Macaca mulatta: one gene and its partner. The protein of the gene in region 2 interacts with the protein of the main gene of each other region in a biochemical or structural test. Links are inferred from orthologs where the notes say so. Each region holds a gene or a part of one and is shown on either strand. Other genes may lie near its edges.

The links.
Region 1: the proteins of LRRK1 (region 2) and GPBP1L1 form a complex in vitro, tested with the Homo sapiens proteins (2 studies listed by BioGRID and IntAct, with this or other methods). The link is inferred for Macaca mulatta from reciprocal best matches to the Homo sapiens genes LRRK1 and GPBP1L1.

What each region holds. Positions count from the first base shown.
Region 1 is NC_133406.1:194,949,683-194,956,148, forward strand, and holds part of GPBP1L1 (vasculin-like protein 1), read left to right. Parts: intron 1-3,222; coding exon 3,223-3,352; intron 3,353-3,713; coding exon 3,714-4,000; intron 4,001-6,466. UniProt on the Homo sapiens protein: Possible transcription factor.
Region 2 is NC_133412.1:91,421,411-91,427,876, reverse strand, and holds part of LRRK1 (leucine-rich repeat serine/threonine-protein kinase 1), read right to left. Parts: intron 6,160-6,466; coding exon 5,910-6,159; intron 5,028-5,909; coding exon 4,861-5,027; intron 4,727-4,860; coding exon 4,529-4,726; intron 2,997-4,528; coding exon 2,719-2,996; intron 1,071-2,718; coding exon 876-1,070; intron 1-875.

The DNA.
Region 1 (6,466 bases), on a different chromosome or scaffold from region 2:
CAACTTTCTTTTACTTATTTATTTTTGAGACAGGGTGTCTGTCACCCGGGCTGGAGTACAGTGGCATGGTCATAGCTCATTGCAGCCTTGAACTCCCGGGCTCAAGCAGTCCCCTCACCTTAGCCTCTAGAGTGGCTGGTACTACAGGCGAGCACCACCATGCCCGGCTAACTTTTTTGGTTTTTTTTGTAGAGATAGAGTCTCACCATGTTGCCCAAGGTGTTCTAGAACTGGCCTCAAACGATCCTGTCACCTCAGCCTCCAGAAGTGCTGAGATTACAGGCATGAGCCACTGTACCAGCCTAAACTTCATTTTGGGATTTTTGTTTGTTTTTTTATAGACAGGGTCTTACTCTGTTGCCCAGGCTGGAGTGCAGTGGTGCGATCATGGCTCACTGCAGCCTTGACTTCCCTGGCTCAAGCGATTCTCCTACCTCATCCTCCAAGGTAGCTGGGACTATAGGCGTACACTACCACTTCCAGCTAATTTTTTGTATTTTTTTGTAGAGATGGGGTTTTGCCATGTTGCCCAGCTGGTCTTGAAATCCTGGGCTCAAGTGATGTACCTGCCTCAGTCTCCCAAAGTGCTGGTATTACAGCAGTGAACCACCACACCCGGTTCTAAACTTAATTTCAAATTGTATTAATGAAATTTGCAGGATCTTATAATTGGCCTAATCTGACCCAAGGCTTGGAGCTAGTGGGCTACATGAGAAGTACACAGATCTATCAGAGAAGAATAATTGTTTTAGCACAGTGAACTAAGTAAAAAGAATTAGAAGACATTCTTTCATTTTCAAAACTATAGTAAGCAAAGTCCTGTGGTTTTGGCATAAGGGGATAGACATAAAAGGAATATAATAGAATAGTGAGTTCAAAAATAGGCCTGTAGAGGCTGGGCTCCGTGGCTCATGCCTGTAATCCCAGCACTTTGAGAGGCTGAGGCAGAAGGGTTGCTTGAAAGCCAGGAGTTTGAGACCAGCTTGGGCAGCAAAGTAAGACCTTGTCTCTACAAGAAAAATTTGAAAAAAACTAGGCAGGTGTGGTGGCGAATACCTGTCATCCCAGCTACTCGGGAGGCTAAGGCGGGAGGATCACTTGAGCCAAGGAGTTTGAGGCCACAGTGAGCTATGATCGGGCTACTGTACTCCAGTCTGGATGACCGAGTGAGACCTTGGCTTTTAAAAAAACAAGGAAAAGGCTTATGTATGTATTTCGTTGATTTTTGACTAAAGTACAAAGGTAATTCAATGAGGAAGTGATAGTGTTGTGTTTTTGAACTAGAAGAACTAGCTTCTATCTGTATGGGGGCAGGGTAAAGAACCTCAGCGTTTGCTTCATACACAGAAAAATTAACTTGAAATGGAACATAAGTTAAAAAGTTAAAACTGTAAGACTTTTAAGAGAAAACAGGAGAAAATCTTTTTACCCACTCGAATGGGTAAAATATTGGCAAGGATATTGATAGTAAGAAAAGTAAATGTAGGCCGGGCGCGGTGGCTCACGCCTGTAATCCCAGCACTTTGGGAGGCCGAGGCGGGCGGATCACAAGGTCAGAAGATCGAGACCACGGTGAAACCCCGTCTCTACTAAAAATACAAAAAATTAGCCGGGCGCGGTTGTGGGCGCCTGTAGTCCCAGCTACTCGGGAGGCTGAGGCAGGAGAATGGTGTGAACCTGGGAGGCGGAGCTTGCAGTGAGCCGAGATCACGCCACTGCACTCCAGCCTGGGCGACAGAGCGAGACTCCGTCTCAAAAAAAAAAAAAAAAAAGAAAAGTAAATGTAAACATGCTCTGACTTAGGTTTTCCGTGCCAAACATACCCATATTTTCATGGCTTTATGGACTTTGGTCTCTATAATTTAAGAATGTCATAGAATAGGCCGGGCACGGTGGCTCATGCCTGTGGTCCCAGCACATTGGGAGGCCAAGGTGGGCAGATCACGAGGTCAGGAGATCAAGACTATCCTGGCTAACATGGTGAAACCCCGTCTCTACTAGAAATACAAAAAATTAGCCGGGCGCAGTGGCAGGCGCCTGTAGTCCCAGCTACTCAGGAGGCTGAGGCAGGAGAATGGCATGAACCCAAGAGGCAGAGCTGGCAATGAGCCGAGATAGCTCCACTGCACTCCAGCCGATGTGACAGAGCGAGACTTCGTCTCAAAAAAAAAACAAAAAACAAAAAATGAATGTCATAGAATAAAATTCTTTGAAATAGGAAGGGATATTAGAGTTAATCTATAAAGTTTCTCAGACTGCTTCCTTTCAGTTTTATTACCTCAGAGACTTATTTTTTTCTCTCTTGACCTCTTTCATTGTGTGTAAATGAGTAAAATGGGTATGATGCCAAAAGTTTAATATTGTTACAAGTATTATATCTGGAAATAAATGTTTTATAAAACTATAAGAACTCTAGTAGCTCGGTGCTGTGGCATACACCTGTAATCCCAGAACTTTGAGAGGCCAAGGCAGGAGGATTGCTTGAGGCCAGGAGTGAGAGATCAGCCTGGGCAAAATAGTGAGACCTCCATCTCTACAAAAAATTTAAAAGATTAGCCAGACTTAGTGGCATGGGCCAATAGTTCTAGCTGCTCCATAGGCCGAGGCAGGAGGATCCTTTAAGCTCAAGGGTAAGCAGCTGCAGTGAGCTTTGATTGTGCCACTGCACTCCAGCCTGGGCAACCATGAGACTTCATCACTTTTTTTAAAAAAAAAAAAAAAAACTCTGTAATTACTACCGACCTCCTAGGGTGATATTTCAACCATTGCCTTCACCCTTATTCCAGAAATACTAAAACTTTAGGATTATTTTTGAGGCAATCGTTTTGATTTTCCTCTCTTACAAGATAAATATTTTTAAGTGTAAAGTTTTGGAGCTTATACTTACAGATATTTGCAAGGTTTTTTTTCCCCTCCCCCTCCTTTCATGCAAACAATTGAAGTGGCTAGCTTTTCTCCTCTCCAATATTTATTATTGGAATAAATATTTATTCCAATATTTATTATTTGGAATAAAGGAAGTGAATTAATGATTGAATATATAACCCAGGACTTCTCTAAATTAGGCACCTGGGGGTACCCTTAGGGTCTATATGTTTATAATACGGGGTTTCTATCACCATTATTACTTGTTTTTTGAAGGCCTGATGCAAAGCCTATTAAGATATTGAAAGGGACTAATAGCTGTTTATCCATTTGCCTCTCCATACTTCATCATCTTAGTCACCTACTGCCACCTTCGAAAAACACGGAGAGCACCTGCCTAGAGGAGAAGGTAGATTTGGAGTAAGCCGCCGTCGACATAATTCCTCTGATGGTTTTTTTAACAATGGTCTCCTACGAACTGCAGGAGGTGAGCTGTGTCCAACTTTCATGACTATATTTAAGCTACTCATTTAGGACAAGCCCGGGCTGTGGGTATGTGTCTGTAATCTTGAAATAGGATCTTTTCTGAACATAGTTTTCATTTAGATTCTCTAGTAGTCATTACACAACTACATTTCTTTCTAGGTCTAACTATGATTATGATTCTCGTGAATCATCTATTCAGTTGGACTGATTTCAGAAATTACCTCACAAAGAAAAGATACATTTTGTGATTTTTTTGTGTGTGGACTTTTTTTTAACAAGTTCCCCTGAAGGCCTTTTGCCGATACCTTAAACCAAATCAGGAAGCAAACAATGTAATTAGTTCCTTTTCTTTACTATTCTAGATTCTTGGCACCAGCCCTCCCTGTTCCGCCATGATTCTGTGGACTCTGGTGTCTCTAAGGGAGCATATGCTGGAATCACAGGGAACCCTTCTGGTTGGCATAGCTCCTCCCGAGGTCATGATGGCATGAGCCAGCGTAGCGGAGGTGGCACAGGGAACCATCGCCACTGGAATGGCAGCTTCCACTCCCGAAAAGGGTGTGCTTTTGCGGAAAAGCCACCTATGGAGATTAGGGAAGAAAAGAAAGAAGACAAGGTGGAAAAGTTGCAGTTTGAAGAGGAGGACTTTGTAAGTATGGATCTTTAGATGTATGGTTAGAAGCCGACAAATAATGTCTGAAATATGAGACCCTGTTAGTAATGAGAGCATTTCAGAAATTACAGAAAAAGGAATTTGTAAGTTGAGGTTTTTATTGTTTTTAGAGGAAAGGGGTTAAGTTGATAACATTTGAAAATGGTGACCAAAACTCCTATGTAACTTGTAGCAAATTTTTCATTTTTGTGTCTTTGGAATTTAGAAAAATCTTTAATTTCTCTTAAGTCTTACAAAGTTTACTGAGATATAATTTATGTTAAAATGTACTCTTGCGTGTTAAATAGTCTTTTTTCCAGCTATGATAAAACATTTTTTCTCTTGATTTTGTTCTCTATCATATAAAATTACTGTGATATGAACATGTAATTGGGAGTATTTTCGCTGTTGCCTATATATTCAGTAACACTTGGTGTTACTGTGTGTTAAATTACATGCCTTTTGGCCTCTTGAAGGTAGCATTTTTAGAGTATCTATAAAATGTTTAAAATATATTTTATTTAAGAAAAAATTATCAGGCTGGGCTCGGTGGCTCATGCCTGTAATCTGAGCCCTTTGGGAAGCCGAGGCAGTTGGATCACCTGAGGGCAGGAGTTCAAGATCAGCCTGACCAACATGGTGAAACCCCATCTCTACTAAAAATACAAAAATTAGCTGGGCTTGGTGGTAAGCGCCTATAATCCCAGCTGCTCGGGAGGCTGAGGCAGGAGAATCATATGAACCCAGGAGGCATAGGTTGCAGTGGGCTGAGATTGGGCCATTGCACTCCAACCTGGGCGATAGAGCGAGATTCTTTCTTAAAAAAAGAAAAAAGATTATCATTTTAACAAATCAGTATCTTTAAGTTGGCCAGGCATAGTGGCTCATGCCAGTAATCCCAGCACTTTCAGAGACCAAGCCAGGAGGATTGCTTGATGCCAGTTGTTTGAGACCAGCCTGGGCAGCACAGCAAGACCCTTGTCTCTATAAAATTTTTTTAAAAATTAGCTGGGCATGATGGCACATGCCTGCAGTCCCAGCCACTAGGGAGACTGAGGCAGGAGGATTACTTGAGTGCTGGAGTTTGAGGCTGCAGTGAGCTATGATTGCACCACTGCATTCATGCCACCACGCCCAGCTAATTTTTTTATTTCTTATAGAGACTAGGTATCACTGTGTTGCCCAGGCCAGTCTCGAATGCCTGACCTCAAGTGATCTTCCCATCTCGGCCTCCAAAAGTGCTAGGATTACAGACACCAACCACCGCACCCAGCCTCTAGCTGTTTTTAAGTAGCACATCAGTCAGTCACTTCTGTTATAGCCATTTCATCAATTAATAGAGTCACCTAAAGAGGAGTGAAATTTAGGCATTAGGTCCTCTACCCTCAAGTCTAGGAAGTGACCTGGGGTCTTGATTTAAATTATATATTAATGTGAATTCCTATTCCCAGGTGACTGTTCTTCAAAATTTTATCCTCAGGAAGGTCTATACTGCCCTTACATATTGAATATTTGTCCAGAATGTTCTAGATAACAAATAGTCCAAAAATTACTGTAATTTCAAACGTAATTTTTATTATTTATACAACAAACTTATAAGCAAATCCAAGAAAGACCAGTGGGAATGATTTGAAAATATAATCTATGTTGCTCATTACACTTAAGCAACTTGATGAAATTCTTATCAAACTAGCAACAAAAGCATTAGCAACAGAACTGGTGGACATGGGTGGCGTGCACCTATAGCCCCAGCTACTTGGCAGGTGGAAGCAAGACTCCATCTCTTAAAAAAAAGAAATGCAACAATTATAGTATATTCTTATTAAAAAACTACTTTCCTTTAATACTTTTATTCTATGATTAAATAAACCCATGATGATTTTAACATCATTTGTATCTGAAATGAAAGAGTATATGTAATAATATAACCATAACCAACTGTGCATATAGAAAAATTTATTTGAATCCCCAACAGTTTTTATTTCTTATGTACTTCAATAAGAAAAAGAGAAGATGGTGGCAAATAAGAAATCGTGTGGAGTAAAGTAGAAGTAAGGGTACCTTTTAAACTGGGTAGTATGCTGCTGATTAGCATAGTTTGATTAGAAGCTTCATTATCAGTCCTGTGACATTCCCAGTGGAAATGATACAAACATTCTATTTTATCAGTTTGCGCATTTTTACCTTCATATGAATAATTCATACTGTAATTCTCTTATTTATGTAAAATTGAAGTTTACATGTGTTGAATCATGGGGCTCTAGCTTAGCAGTTCTCGACTAGGGGCAAGTTTGCCCACTGGGGGATATTTGGCATTACCTAGAGACATCTTTCTTGTCACAACTGGGGTTAGTGCTAATATCATCTAATATGCAGAGATCAGGGATGTTGCTAAACACCTAAAACACACTGGACAGCCCCGTAACAGAATTTGTCAGCCTAAAATGTCAGTAGTGTCATGGT
Region 2 (6,466 bases):
CCATGAGGTCAGCCAGCTTCAACCAGGGAGAAATGAGGGATTCTGTTCGTTCAGATTGGATCCAAACAAGAGGCTAAAACAGCTTCAGATGTCAGGAGCAAACCCATCCAGATATCTGGGTCACCCTTGGCTATGGCAATTTAAACTCATCTGGTCAGGTTAGCTGAACCCCAGGTATTCCAACCCAGGCCAAGGACATACACTCTTCATCTCACTATATTGCCCAAGCTGGAGTGCAGAACCTACTCACAGGTGCAATCATAGTGCACCACAGCCTTGAACTCCTGGGCTCAAGTGATCCTCCTGCCTCAGCCTCCCCAGTGGCTGGGACTATAAGTCCATGTCACCATGCCCAGATAAAGACATGCATTCTTCTAAAGAATATCCTGTTTACTCTCAATACATTAAACTAGCTCGTTTGATTTAATAAATGAGTTTTAACCTTGAAACTACTAGCCTCTTCCAAAAACACAAAAACACCACCAACAAAAAACTAGCCTTAACACTATAATATGATCTCTGATTCTCACAACCAAACCTTTTCCCCGTTACTTTAGAAAGAGATACCCACATTCTCTCTGTTCTTGCACAGGGACTGTATTGTTATAAAGGGGCTGATATACTTTGTTTGCATGGTGAAGTAACACAAAAGTTGGGGAGGAAAAGGAAGTTTGTTTCCTAAGAGTGACATGCACACACAAAGAAAATGAAAGTAGATATGTTAGAAGCAGCAAATATCACCCTCTAGAAGAAATGAGCAGAGAAGGGTCGCCAATTGTGACGGGTGGGCAGCCACACACACATACTCTGGGGACCCACAGCTTCTGCCACATGGCAGGAGGTCCCAGGGCCCTGGGCTTTGTGCTCCCAAGTACCTTCTCTGGCTTAGTGTCCCAGCACTCCATCATGAGTGCCTGCAATCGATGGAACTGCACTTCCTCCGGCTGCCCCAGAACTGGGCGGATGCCCTTGGACAGTTTCTTGGCAATCTGGAGCTGGTGGTGGCCCAGTGCAGGTCGCTGTCCTGACAGCAACTCGTAGAGCACCATTCCATAGGAGAACATATCTACCTGGGCACAGAATAAGCCAAGTCAGGTCCCTGCCTGGGCCCAGTGGCCTTCACTAGTTGGCCCTGAGGTTGACAATTAGACAAGGAAAACAAACATTCAACCAACCACCTGACCATGTCCCTCTGTCCATTTATCCATCCATCCTCCCAACTACCCATCCATCCACCCATCTGACCACTTTCTCTTCTATCCATTTATCTCTCCATTTTCTTACCCTTTCTTCTTTCCATCCATCCATCCATCCATTTGCTTGTCTTCCTGTACATTTATCCATTCTTCTCATCTGTCCATCCATCTGACCACCTGTCCTGCACATTTATCCATCTATCTTCCTATCCTTCCTCTTTTCCATCCACCCATCCATCTGACTTCCCACCATATCGTCCATTTGCCCATTGTCCCATCCATCCATCCATCCATCCATCCATCCATCCATCCATCCATCCATCCTTCCTTCCGTCCAATAAAACATACTGAGAACTTGCTGTTAGTCACTGATTAAGGACTCCAAGGAGGTCATGGTCCTTATCCGTGAGTAGCAAGACAAGGCAGGAAAACACATACCCTCAGCTTGATGTGCTTGGTACTAAAAGTGCTGTGTATGCAACTCATAAAAAAAGGAGTGTCTCCTGGATCACAACATGTTGCCTTCTCTAATTTTCATAATCATAAAAAGGTCCAGCAAGGAAAATTTATACAGACCCCTATAAGGGTCAAGAAATAATATTTTAGCAGGAGAATGGCTGAAATAGACTTGAGAATTTCAAATGTGAATGTTTCCATGATAATCTGAGTTTCAAGGTGACCTCCTTATTGAAGTCACCTACTATTGTGAAGCTCTTATTTTTGTTGCTTTGATTTGCCTTTTCTATCTTGGGCAACAGCCACAGGTGCTGAGCTAATCCACACATGCACAGGTCATTCCTACAGCAATTAGTCAATGACCATCTGAAAAATCACCAAATAATAAGAAATTATAGACAAGAGAATTTTAATGCTGGGTGATTAATTAACAAGGCTGGTACTAGATGCAATACATGCATGGTAAGATGACTTTAAGTTGTCTGTGGGCCTGCATCTACCAAATAGCCATCAGGGATAAATGTTATTAGAAGATCAATATTTAGTCATTGTCTCAACTGAGGCTGGCAGCGCAGTTGCCTGGGGATGCCAGCTTGTCCTTTCACTCTTCTCCTGGTTCGGCATTCAACTTGGCCAGCACCCTGTGACCAGGACTTAAGGACAGGGGTCTTTACCGTCCTTATTCTGTCTACTCCTCCTGAGTGCCCTGCAAGGCTGGTCCTGTGTCCTCATTGTGCACATCTAAATGTGAGTTGGAGCCCAAATCCAGACGTGTTTCTGTCTTGGACTCTTCATCTGCTGTTTACAGCCTCTACAATGTTTCTGAATCAAGGTTTGAGAACTCTGAGGCTAAGGAGAAGTCAATCTTGCTACAAGCAGACAGACATAGGCCCCTGCTCCCTTCTGGTTCAAGCCAGAACCTCCCTCATGGAGCAAGGGAGAGGGAGAAAAATGTGCTTTTGGGGATGCTGAGCCCCGAAGCTGCAGGTGCCTCCAGGAATGCCTGGCTAGCCTCAGGGCTGGGCTCCTGCATTGTGGGGCTGGGCCAGGGGATCCAGGCAGATACCTTCTCATCATATACAATTCGAGGCCTGATCTCTGGGGCCTGGTAGCCAGGAGTGCCCTCCACGCCTAGAGCACCCTCATGGAATGACTGCCTCGAAATCCCGTAGTCAGATAGCTTGATGTTGATGTGCTCCTTGACGTCAAGGGACCACACCAGAATGTTGTCCGACTTCAGGTCGCAGAAGATGATGTTTTTCTTGTGCAGGTAGGCCAGGCCCGAGGCAATCTGGTAGGCTATTTTTTGGGTGAGCATGTGTCCCAGCGGTATGAAGGAAGAATCTTGCAAAGAAAAACAATTTTCAAATGTATCAAAATTTCAGTTTTGATAGAATCAAATTATCATGATAGCAACTGTCTTTTTGTCTTCCTATCTCCCTAGATACTATATATTCTTTTTTTCTTTTTTCTTTTTTTGAGACAGAGTCTCCCTCTGTCACCCAGCCTGGCGTGCAGTGGCACGATCTCAGCTCACTGCAAACCCTGCCTCCAGGGTTCAAGCAATTCTCATGCCTCAGCCTCCCAAGTTGAGTAGCTAGGACTACAGGCACATGCCACCATGCCTGGCTAACTTTTGTATTTTTAGTAGACATGGGGTTTCACCATGTTGGCCAGGCTGGTCTTGAATTCCTGGCTTTAAGTGACCTGCCCGTCTGGGCCTCCCAAAGTGTTGGGATTGCACATGTGAGCCACTGCACCTGGCCCCTAGATACTTTATATTCTATTGACACATTCTCACTATTCACCAGACTGCCAGAAGGGGCAGAGAATGGCCTGGTTAAGTGAAATAGTATTTAGGATAGAAGTGCTCATCACTATAGCTTCATTCATGATACCTTATTCCTGGAATTGCTGGCAGTTTTGCTGAATGAGCAAGGATTCGAAATCTCTAGAGTTCATCTCAGGTCAAGGCTGTCCTACGTAAAGGGGTCAGTTGCAAGTAGAAGAATTTTGTTTGGCTGGGTGTGGTGGCTCATGCTGGTAATTCCAGCACTTTGGGAGGCTAAAGTGGGGGGATCGATTGAGCTCACAGTTCGAGAACGACCTGGGCAACAGGGCGAAAGGCCATCTCTACAAAAAACAAAACAACAAATTAGCTGGGTGTGGTGGCATATGCTTGTAGCTACTGGGGAAGTTGAGGTAGGAGGATTGCTTGAGTTCAGAAGGTCAAGGCTGCAGTGAGCTGAGATTGCACCACTGTACTCCAGCCTGGCCAACAAAGCAAGATCCTGTATGAAAAAAATAAAATAAAAATAAAATAAAATAAAGAATTTTGTTTAAAAAATTATCTTCCATTGAGGCGGAAGTGATTCATTTTAATAGCATTTCTTCTTCCCTAGTCACCCTCTGGCAACTCTGGAGTTTAGTTGCTCATTTCTCAACGTAAATTACTTTAACGTTTTATTTTAAAATATAGTATGGTCCCACTGATCCTAGGATCTGAGTCTCAGCAGTGGTGTGCATGTGCAGTTAAGAAAGTGATTTAATGCAGCTCATGTGCTTGGTGCCCTCCCAGAGAGGATGTTATCATCCTCCTTTTATAGGCAAATAAACTCAGCAGCTTCCTGGACTGTGGCAGAGCCTGGTCTTAGCCGACTCCACAGCGTGCCCTCTGCCGTCCTCGCCAAGGCTCTGCCCAGTGACTGGACCTGGCGAGGTGCCTGGCCTCACACCCAGGGGATGGTCACACGAACCATGGGTTGGGTGTGCCGTGGGCTTGCCAAGGCCACCTGAGGCTCTACCCCTGTGCCAGGCAGGAGGCCCTTGGGGCTCTGTTGGTCTCAGGAGCTGGGTGGGGCGGCGCACCGCGGTACCTCTGGCGTTCTCGGACAGCACGGTGTTGAGGCTGCTGAGTGGCGCGAGCTCCAGGGCGAAGCAGAGCGGGTGGATGCTGATGCCGATAAGCGCCACAATGCAGGGGTGCTGCAGCGCGTGCAGCATGCTGGCCTCCTGCCGGAACTCAGAGAAGTTCTTCATGGCGTCCGTGGCCCGCAGGTGCCTCAGCATGGTGTCTGCCGTGGAAAGCGCAGTGTCAGCCAGCAGGACACGGGGTGCCTGCAGCCTCAGGTCTCTCTAAGGTGGCACAGAGCTTAGACCCGGGCAGCATATGTCTGAGAAAAACAGCACCAACCTGGGACCCGCTTACCTGCCGGGACATTAGCAAAGTTCTTGAATTTTTTGATGTGGAAGCGCTTGACAGCTACGGGCTGGCCCTGGTACCGGGCCCGGTAGATGACGGTGCCACTGCCACCCTGGCCCAGGACGCTGCCCTCGTCCTCGCTGTGCTCCAGCTTGCTGTTCTCCAGGAAGAGCCTGCCACACACACTTGGCATCAGCCACATCGCCCCGGCCCTGACGCAGGTGGGTCCTGGGCTGGGTCATTTGTCCCCATGGCCGAGAGTCATGGTTCAAAGCCATCTGTGAGGCTGGACAGATCTGGGCCACCCCGGCCCTGCCACTTGCGGGTGGGCACACCTGGGTGGGTTATGGAGGCTTGCTAAGCCTCAGTCTCCTCTGTAAAGTGGGCTCAGGACCCGAACAGCCTCAGAGGTGATGATGGCTGGTACAGGGTGAAGTCCACGGAAGTGGTGGCCATAGAGAAAGGATCCCTTTGGAAGTTTTCTTCTGAAAGGTGACGTTTCCTATTTCCTCCCCAATTCTCTCCCTAGTTATCATCTTGGGTTAGCATAGGTAGAATAAACTCTAAGAACAGATTTGAGGGGTCCAATGCTGAGCACTAGGGTTACAGATAGGAGTCAGCGTTTGACAAAGGAGGTAAACAAGGCTCTGGGTGGGAGCTCTCCCCTTCCTGAATGCCCGAGGAGTGCCGGCTGTGCTTATCTGCTGGCCCAGGAGCTGGTGGGGAGGTAGGACTGGAAAGGAGAGGCAGCTCAGGAGAGAGCAGCTCTGGCTACGAGGGGAAGGGGGAGGCATATGGGGAGACAGGATGGCTGCACTTGCAAAGCGCTTTTCCCAGCTGGGCCTACCAAGGCCTCCAAAATGGAAAGCCAGCAGCCTGTACCCTTCAGGCAGCCGAGGATGGGAACCTAAAAAGCTACTGAGATTGGTGGGAAGTGATGGCTGGAGCATCTGCCAGCTCCGGAGGGGTCTTCCTGGAGATCACTTGGCAACTGCACAACGAGGAGCGCCCCCTGTGACCTGCACTGTGTTCTGGGAGGGGCCTTCGGGGTATACCTGGCCGGGAAGTCGGTCATGAACAGTTCAGGGACCAGCTCCTGGAGCGGCACGGGGAGGTCCGGGTGTCTGGGACAGGAGATGAAGTCCCGCTCGATGGCTGTGAGGACGCAGTCTTCCATGTCGAAGTATTGCACACCCTCTGATTTCTCACTGGGGTCTGTGTGCTGGGCCCAGGCTATCTCGCAGACTGGGCAGGGCACATACTGCTCCATGAGTGGAGTCCCGTCACTCTCTGTGGCCGTCAGGGCTAAATAAGGACAGAGCAAGAGACAGCTTCACAAGAAGGAGGTGCAGGAGGGCCCCTGAGCAGCACTCTGTACCCCAGGCCCCGAGGCCTTCACAGCAGGGGAGTTGCCTGTCCTGGCCTGTACCCGAGAGACAGGCCGAAACCCATTGCCACATTCAGGTGCCTTTTTGGAGAGCGCAATTGTTTGTCCTGAAAGATGCGTCTAGGGAGGGTTCAGGATGCTTCTGAGAACTGCCCAGTGGTCGGGACCCTGAGCAGGCTGGCTGGGGGGCCTGAGAGGAGGGTGGGGATCCCTCCTGCATGACTG